Linked DNA regions of Oryzias latipes. The protein of the gene in region 2 interacts with the protein of the main gene of each other region in a biochemical or structural test. Links are inferred from orthologs where the notes say so. Each region holds a gene or a part of one and is shown on either strand. Other genes may lie near its edges.

Region 1 (4,315 bases), on a different chromosome or scaffold from region 2:
GTTAATTCTTCTCTAAGATTTCTGGTAAATCGCCTGTCCGTCCTGGGGGAGGATCCCTCCTTCATGTGGGCACCCCTGAGGTTTCTTCGTTTTTTCCGGAATCCGGTTTTTTTGGGAGTTTTTCCTTACCGCGAAGGGGGGTCTAAGGGCAGGGATGCCAGTATAGCTTAGTCAGTTTGTTAGTTCATTTTAGTATTTTTCTATTGAACTCTTTGTATTCGTGATCCTTTTGATTTCATGTTTTACTTCGAAGCCCATCGAGACGACTGTTGTTGTGATTTTGGGCTATACAAATAAAATTGAATTGAATTGAACTCTCGCCGCGCCATGCCCGCTGCTCAAATCGCGCCGCAGAACCTCTGATTTAACATTGTAACTGGCCGTCCCGTCACGCAAATCGTGTTCGTAGTGCATGCAGCTTTACAACTGCATAGTTGCCTGTTCTTCTGTAGGACTGCAAATCCACAGTTTTTTCACAGTCTATTGTTCTTGGAGTAAAGATTAAAAAGTCCTGGACTGTCTCCTCTGAGATTAGTGGATCTGAGGGTGCAAAAACTATCTGGCCTTTCATTCTTAACTGAGGAGATTTTTTGAGTTTTTTTGTGGGGCTGTTGGCATGTGTAAACTGACTATCATCATGGTCAGCACAGATACGGGCTGACCAGCTGCTGGCTGTGCACTGGAATAAGCCTTAGTGATTCACCTTCAAACTTGTGTCACTGAAAACAACACACAACCTATGTGCGATAGATTAGACTATCTTCAAGAGGTGCAACCGTTTTCATTTGTTCCAGTAGCTCTCCATTCCTTGTGCTCATTCCCTCCTCTCTGTTGCACTGATTTAACATGAAACTCTTAGCGCTTGCTGAATTTTTCTTTAAATTCTGCACTTTGCTGCTGTTGCAGTCAGTTTTTGTAAATCACCTACAAATCCTATTTACAGAGGATGAGCAATTTATTGTTTAATTTCACGCAATTTGGTAAATGAAATATTAAGGGTTGTATTAGGCTGATCCAAATCAAACAAAAAAACCTACAAACTGTTTGAAATTAAAGAACATGTTTCAGCTACATCCTGAAAAGCCGACTAAAATGAGTTTTATTTATTCTTTAAATCAAACCTTTTGGTAAATTTAAACTGGCACATGTTTGTTCATGTACGTTATCTTAATATGAGGCTAGTTGACTCAAAATTAACTCTACAAAAATATGTACAGAACCAGAAAAACTCAACGAGAAAATAGGAAACAGGCACAATGGAAGAGAGAACAAGACATGGTTGAGGGAGACAGCCAATACGGTTCAAGGGAGCGAGAGACCCTGGGTGAGAAGACAGAGAGAGAGAGAGAGAGCTGGAGATCCCCACAGAGAGGAAGAGAGGCTGCATGAAAGAAGCAGCCAGAGCGCAAAAACATTCAGCTCCCGGTCACTCACAATGACGACTCAACTACTTGACTGCACTCCTCTGGAAACCTGAAAGACCACAGGAAGACCTCACAGACACTCCGGTTTTTCCCTCTGCCTCTCAATCAGTTTTCCATTTTGGAAAGTGACATTATGTGGAAATACAGTGCGGGAAGGAGGAAGGTTTGGGAGGAACGTGGTCTGTGGTGCTTTTTGGAAGACGTGCATGGAGCGGCTGATGTTTTTCACTGAAGGTTTATGTGAGTAAAGGGGTGAGGGGGGGTGGGCATTTATGGAATATTTAAAATCTCGTGAGGGCTGACGCTGTTTGCTTGTGAAGAGAAAAGTATTCTTCAGAGGAGGCAGAACTTTAACGGCAGGATGGAGTGACTGTGTGTGAGGGGAAAGTTGGAGGCACATGGACACACACTTGTAAGAACCCATCCTGTTCGTCATCCATCCTTGTCAGCTGCAGACTGCCTCGCAGGTACACGGATGAGCTGAGACCAGGAAGCCAGGATTCCCACCCATGCTCACAGAGCAATCGCATCTGTGGATCCACCATCCAAACCAGCACCAGTTTCCACAAGAGTTTCCATTCATCAAACCAGTTTCACTCTAGGATATAGTTTTCTATAAGGACCAGATCATGCGTCTGAAGAGAAACAGACTAACTGGAAAACTGCTTTAACCCTTGGAACACATGCAGATTTTCTATAACCCAGATTTGGCACGGATGTAGCATTTTTAGCATGAACACATCTTCCACTCTTCAGGGATGACTTCAAATGGATTCTATGATCCGGAGAAGAGACGCCTCCCCCCTTTTCTGTGAAGACGTGAGTCACGATAATTCCAGCACTTGGATTTTTGACATTTTGTTAAAGTGGTGAACACGTTTATACAGGATGTGGATCCTGACAGACAAGACATATTTACGGCTCCAATTTCCTCTGAGATGATGGGATGGATAAGTGAACGTAAATGACAATTCAAGGGACAAAACTGAAAGATGGGAAAAGGCAAAGAAATGAATAGTTGTGAGTTTCTGGCTCTTTCTTGACTCAGTAAGTGGTGATTTTCTATAGTTCTCCTGATCTGACAGCATGAACCTGCGTGGAGGTAACATGTCAGAGCTGATCTCCCACACTATCAGAGCTATCACAGCTCTGGAGTCCAAACCCTGGCCTCCGCCTGGACTTGAGGAAAATGTCCACAGAGTTGGGAATGCAACAAGCTTGGATTGTAAGGGGGTTGACGTGGCACGCAGCACAGTAGACAGGCAGTTGGGGAACTGGTCTCAGCGCGGTGCAGCTGGACTTTACGGATCTCAGTGTGCACCTTCACATCTGCCGGAGGAGAAGAACTGGGCATCGCTGCTGATTCTGGTGGTGATCGCCGTCACGGTCATGGGGAACATCCTGGTGATTCTGGCCGTGTCCTTGGAGAAGAAGCTGCAAAATGCCACAAACTACTTCCTGATGTCACTCGCAGTTGCTGACATGCTCCTGGGCATCTTGGTCATGCCAGTTTCCATGGTGACTATTCTCTACGGTAAGAGCAGAGCGTCAATCAAATTAAGCTTTATCAAGCTGACATTTAGTGTGATGATGACTGGAGTTGAGTCTCACAGCATTTATAGAATTGTTTCGTGACTACACAAAATGCACCTGGCTGCACGCGTTCCTCACTACGGATGATTTGTGTGTTCGTGACTGGTTATAGGCAAGAAATATTACACTTTCTCATTTCCGAGTTGGAGCTCTGTCAGAGTCTGATGGCTGTTTAGATCAGTGATCCAGTGTTTGGCTCTGCGGTGAAGCGAACTCCGCCTGGACAGGCAGGTCTCAGTTCATGCATGGCTTTGTGGTGGCAGTGGAAGACAGATGGAGAGCAGCAGTGTTGGAGGTGTTCAGGGCTGTTGTTGATAATGATGGGTTTATTTGGAGAGCTGCTTCAATGGAAAAATAACATGGCAAAGCCTGTGCTGTGTACGGATGAATGGGAAGGCTGATAGAACCCTGCTGCTGTGCAAAACAAGTCTCTCAATGCTACAACTTAAAAAAAGAGAATAGCTTATTGTCTTAGCAGTCTTTAACAAAGAACCGCGCAAGCTAAGACACATCGGTTTCAGCACATACACACCTACACACTTATCCCGTTTGTTTATGTTCCACCGCGAAGACAATTCCGACGTGCAAACATTAGTACCCCCCCCCCCCCCCCCCCTCCGAGCCATGTCCCACCGGGTGATTCGCGCCCCCCCTGAGATTCCCCTGCGCCCCACAGTTTGAGAACCACTGGCGTACACAGTTAAACATTTACAGTTTATCAAAGAGCGTGTGCTACGCAGGTGTTGCCAGTGACAGCTCCGGTGTTTTGCTACATATACACCGGACATGTGATGCATGTTTCAGAGTGCGCTTAAACCGCACAAACTGCAATTATTAATTTCTCCTCCATCAGATTCAGATCAATTTTCAGTGGATTGGCATTTTGGTGAATGAAAAGGACGCCATCCATACGTCGCTACCAAATCCGAGTCCCTTATTGGTCAAAGTTCAACCTGGTTTAACTTGTGTGTGCGTTCAATGGGTGTGTGTTTTTGTATGTACAGCCAAATGAAGGTCATAGAAACTCAACGCAGGAGTTTTGAATGCGGAAACCCGAAACGCGTGCTTACATAGACTTATCATTGGAAGTGGTCGTTTGATTTTGCATTGCTGAGGGGGTTGTGTGAACGTTGCTTCACAGTATTAATCCAATTACCGTTTGAACTCAGCAGCCATTCTCAAGCGAATGAACTTTGGAAAAAAAAATTATTTAAGTAAACCAACTGTAAGCTGGTTACCTATGGAGATGTGAATACAAGCTTTTTCCTTTGAACAAATACTAAGACCAAAACCAGATG
Region 2 (3,761 bases):
TTGTTTACTTCTGACCTTCGGGAGGCGTCCGACTTTTACTTCCGTCCCCGTGACACGTAGCTCGCATTTTTTTTGGTTTTCAAATGAGAAACTTTGTTTTGCCTTTGTTCAGGGAGAGGGATAGATGAACGGCCTCACCTTCAGCTGGGTCTGAGCCGCCAGCCCGACGGGGTTCATCATGGCGATGAAGATGGGGATGTCGCCCAGAGGGCTGCCCACGCCGCCCGCGATGCTGATGCCCAGAGAGTCGCTGGGACCTTTGGTCAGCTCCACTGTTCTGACGTCCTGATGCTCTGCAGCTGAAAAGGTTTCCAAAGGATTCTTTACCGCACCGACACAGATGAGGATCATGGTGACGATCCGTTTCTTGGTACTCACCATCCTGAGCTGGGCTTTGCTTTTCAGAGTCACAGAGAAGGTTTCCGGAGTCGGAACTCGACGGACGAGCCACTTTGGAGCTGCCGGATTCACTTATCTGCAAAAGTGTGAGGATTTCGACGCCTTAACAAACCAAAACTGTTATTTTGTACCTGGGAGATTCTCAGCACGGTACCTGACTGCTCTGGGACAGCCGTCTTTCAGAGTGGAACGGGCCCGCTTTAAACCTCCCCACCTCCAGCTTGATGGGTCCGATGCAGCACTGCGACACAAACGCATCGCCGTCATTCTAGCGTTTCAGATCAATCCTCCCGACGCACCGCGGGAGCCGACTCCCGGGCTAAAACCAGTATCCCGACTATAGGATATTCCCGTTCCGCTACTGAAAATTTGAGTATGATCATTTGCGACATCCGAGATCAGATTTGCGATCTTTTTAAATATAGTTGAGTGTAATAAGCGACATTCAGGCACCATAATTATCGCTCTAAAATGCAGAATAATGTCGGATTACCACTACTGTCAACAAAAGTCAATACATCTTCCAAGTAATAATTTATATTGTCATGTGCTTTTATTAATTTTTGTGTTGTTCAGCACTTTGATGAACCTCTGTTTAAAGTGCTTTATAAATAAAGTTGAGTTGAATTTTTGTCTTTCAAAATCTTTGTTTTTGCTTTTTTTATGGTCTGATGATTCTGATCTGTTCTAAATAAAGGTAAAAATTAAGATATTTACTCATCCAGTAAAAACGACATATGTAACCATGTGCTATCCTAGGTACTTTAACATTGGGAGTTGGGTCATCTAGACCCACTAGACAGTGCTCTGAACCTTTTTTCTTCAATGATTTGTGATCTTCACTGGTGTCCATGGATTACATGAAATCTTTCCACCTTTATCCACCTTTGTCATGGTAGGGAGAACACGTCAATGTAAGGGTGGGGTCATCTGGACCCCATAGGATAGCACAAGTGATATAGCTACCATAAGGCCAGCACAATATATCGCAAATTTATCATTATCACAATATCAAGCTGTGCAATACGCATATCGCAAAGTCGGCGAAAATTGCAATAACCTTAAATGTGCTAAAACGATCTTAAGGCAGCTTGGAGTATTTAACGAATCAAATAAATCAATTAATGCATTTGACCAATCTGATGGAACTCTTTGATGTTAGATGTTATGCAGACTCATTTGGGGTATAATTTAATTTAAATGTATTATTTAAATCAAACTGTTGCAGTGAAACGGAAACGATTTTTTTGGTTCTTTTGCTATTTGTATCGCGGGTTATACTGTCATCGCAATATTGATCACTGATATCTCAAATCGCGAGTTTTCCTCACATCGTGCAGTCCTTGCTACCATTGAAACGTAACATATGAAATCGTAAGAATTGTGGTCTGTTCGGTGAATCATTGTGAATGGGATCACCGTCTCAATAAGGATCCATAGCTATGGGAGGCTGACCTTGAGAAGGGCAGCTACCGCCTCCTGAGTGGCCGACCGGACATCTTCGCCGTTTACCGACAGGATTTGGTCGCCCTGCAGCAGGCGGCCGTCGGCGTCGACCAGGCCTCCGCTCACAATGTCTGACACGAAGACTCCCGTGTCGTTCCTGTGGGATAACGGGGAGGAAAACATTCACGAGGACAGCAAGCTACCAGCTTTATCGATGCAGTGCCCGTCTTCAAGTAAGGGATGTTTCCTTTGCAAACCTCACTGGTGACTGCTCGTCTAATTTCTCCCATTTTAGTAGAAGTGTGAGCGGAAGCAGAGGAGCAAAACTACTCACTCCCATGCAGGCCACGGTGCCAGAGATCCTTGGCTGTGACGAGGCCTCACCACTAACTGCTGGGCTGAACTTTCCTTCTGGAGCCTCCATTCCGTTTTTTTTTCTCCCACAAATGCACCACAACCACAAACGTTGAGCAGCTATCATTGGATTTAACCTCTACACCCGACTTGAACCTCCGAGTTGAAACATTTTGTAAACATCTGAGGCACCCGCTCCCTTTGAATGTTCCATTTTAAATACACGTGTGGAGGAACGCACCGCCGCCATTGTTTACTTTCGGTAGGCACAGCTGAAATTACAGGGCAACAGCTGGAGCGCAGCGGGAAAATAGCGTTTGAAGCAGGTAGACGACAATAGAAGCGTGACTTCATCTGATGACATCTCCAACCCAACAGCTTCTGCAGACCCCCCCTGTAATCCAAACAATTGGAACCACCCACAGGGTGAAACACTGAGGTCGATGACGCAATCCGACCCCTTAACCCTTGAGTGTTGAGCAGCAGAGAGGCATAGTTTTAGAAACTTTGTTGGGTTTGATCCCGCAACCTCCCACTCTAAGAGCGGACGCTCTACCAAAAGGCCACAATTCAGGTTCTAAGGAACCAAAAAAAGTGCAAATGTTCTGGATTTATGGACAAACAGTCACAGTGAGGGTTCTATGAAAAAGGAAGTACACACTACTCTCTTACACTATCTAATACACACTTTTTATACATTTATTAATAAAGTAAATATTGTTTTTAAAAAGTGTTTACATATGTTTTACCTGTGTTTCCGAGATCTGCATTTGGAAATTTGGATTAAAAAAGGAAAAACAGTTAAACTTTTGAAAAAACTGGTAGATATGTGTTTTGTTTTGTTTTTTATCTGGCAAGTATCAAGCATGACTGACTTTGGTTTGTTCCATTTGGTTTTGGATTGTTTAGTCTATTGAATTGTAGTACTTTTCAATAGTTTTTTACATTTTCATTAGTCTGTGTCATAGCCTGGTTGATTTGATTTATTGATTTATTTCAAGTATTTTAGTCAAAGCAATAAAGAATTTACACATATTTATCAAACTCATTACCGAAATTATGAAATGCATAGATTAAAAAGACAGAAAAAAACACAAAAAAAAACCGTCCTTAAATCACTTTTGCTTAATTAAATACAGTGATCATTTACTAAAGTATAAGTAAAGTTTGATTTAAGGTTCACTAACATAAAGTTTACGTAACTTTACGAAAAGTTAGTAACATAAAGTTTACTGAACTTTACTTAACGTTAGTAGCATAAAGTTAATGTAATATTACGTAAAGTTAGTAATATAAAGTTTACTTAACTTTTCATAAAGTTAGTAATATAAAGTTTACGTAACTTTATGTAAAGTTAGTAACGTGACGAACAAAAGGTTTACTAATGTAAAATGTTGCATAACGCTGCAAAGTCGCTATTCTCGGTGACAGAATTTGCCTATTTATGTTAATTGTGTAAAAGGTGAAAGAGCTAAGGTTAGTTAGTACGGCGGTCGAAAGACTGTCAACACTGTAGCTAACATTTCAGTGTCACAGAGTTAACCTGGTGACCAACATCTGAT

Evidence for each region.
Region 1: the proteins of mpdz (region 2) and htr2a form a complex in vitro, tested with the Homo sapiens proteins (2 studies listed by IntAct, with this or other methods). The link is inferred for Oryzias latipes from reciprocal best matches to the Homo sapiens genes MPDZ and HTR2A.

The regions. Positions count from the first base shown.
Region 1 is NC_019879.2:13,742,989-13,747,303, forward strand, and holds the start of htr2a (5-hydroxytryptamine receptor 2A), read left to right. Parts: upstream 1-1,384; 5' UTR 1,385-2,510; coding exon 2,511-2,958; intron 2,959-4,315. UniProt on the Homo sapiens protein: G-protein coupled receptor for 5-hydroxytryptamine (serotonin).
Region 2 is NC_019876.2:9,368,397-9,372,157, reverse strand, and holds part of mpdz (multiple PDZ domain protein), read right to left. Parts: intron 2,964-3,761; coding exon 2,949-2,963; intron 2,003-2,948; coding exon 1,855-2,002; intron 641-1,854; coding exon 554-640; intron 476-553; coding exon 379-475; intron 300-378; coding exon 139-299; intron 1-138. UniProt on the Homo sapiens protein: Member of the NMDAR signaling complex that may play a role in control of AMPAR potentiation and synaptic plasticity in excitatory synapses. Promotes clustering of HT2RC at the cell surface.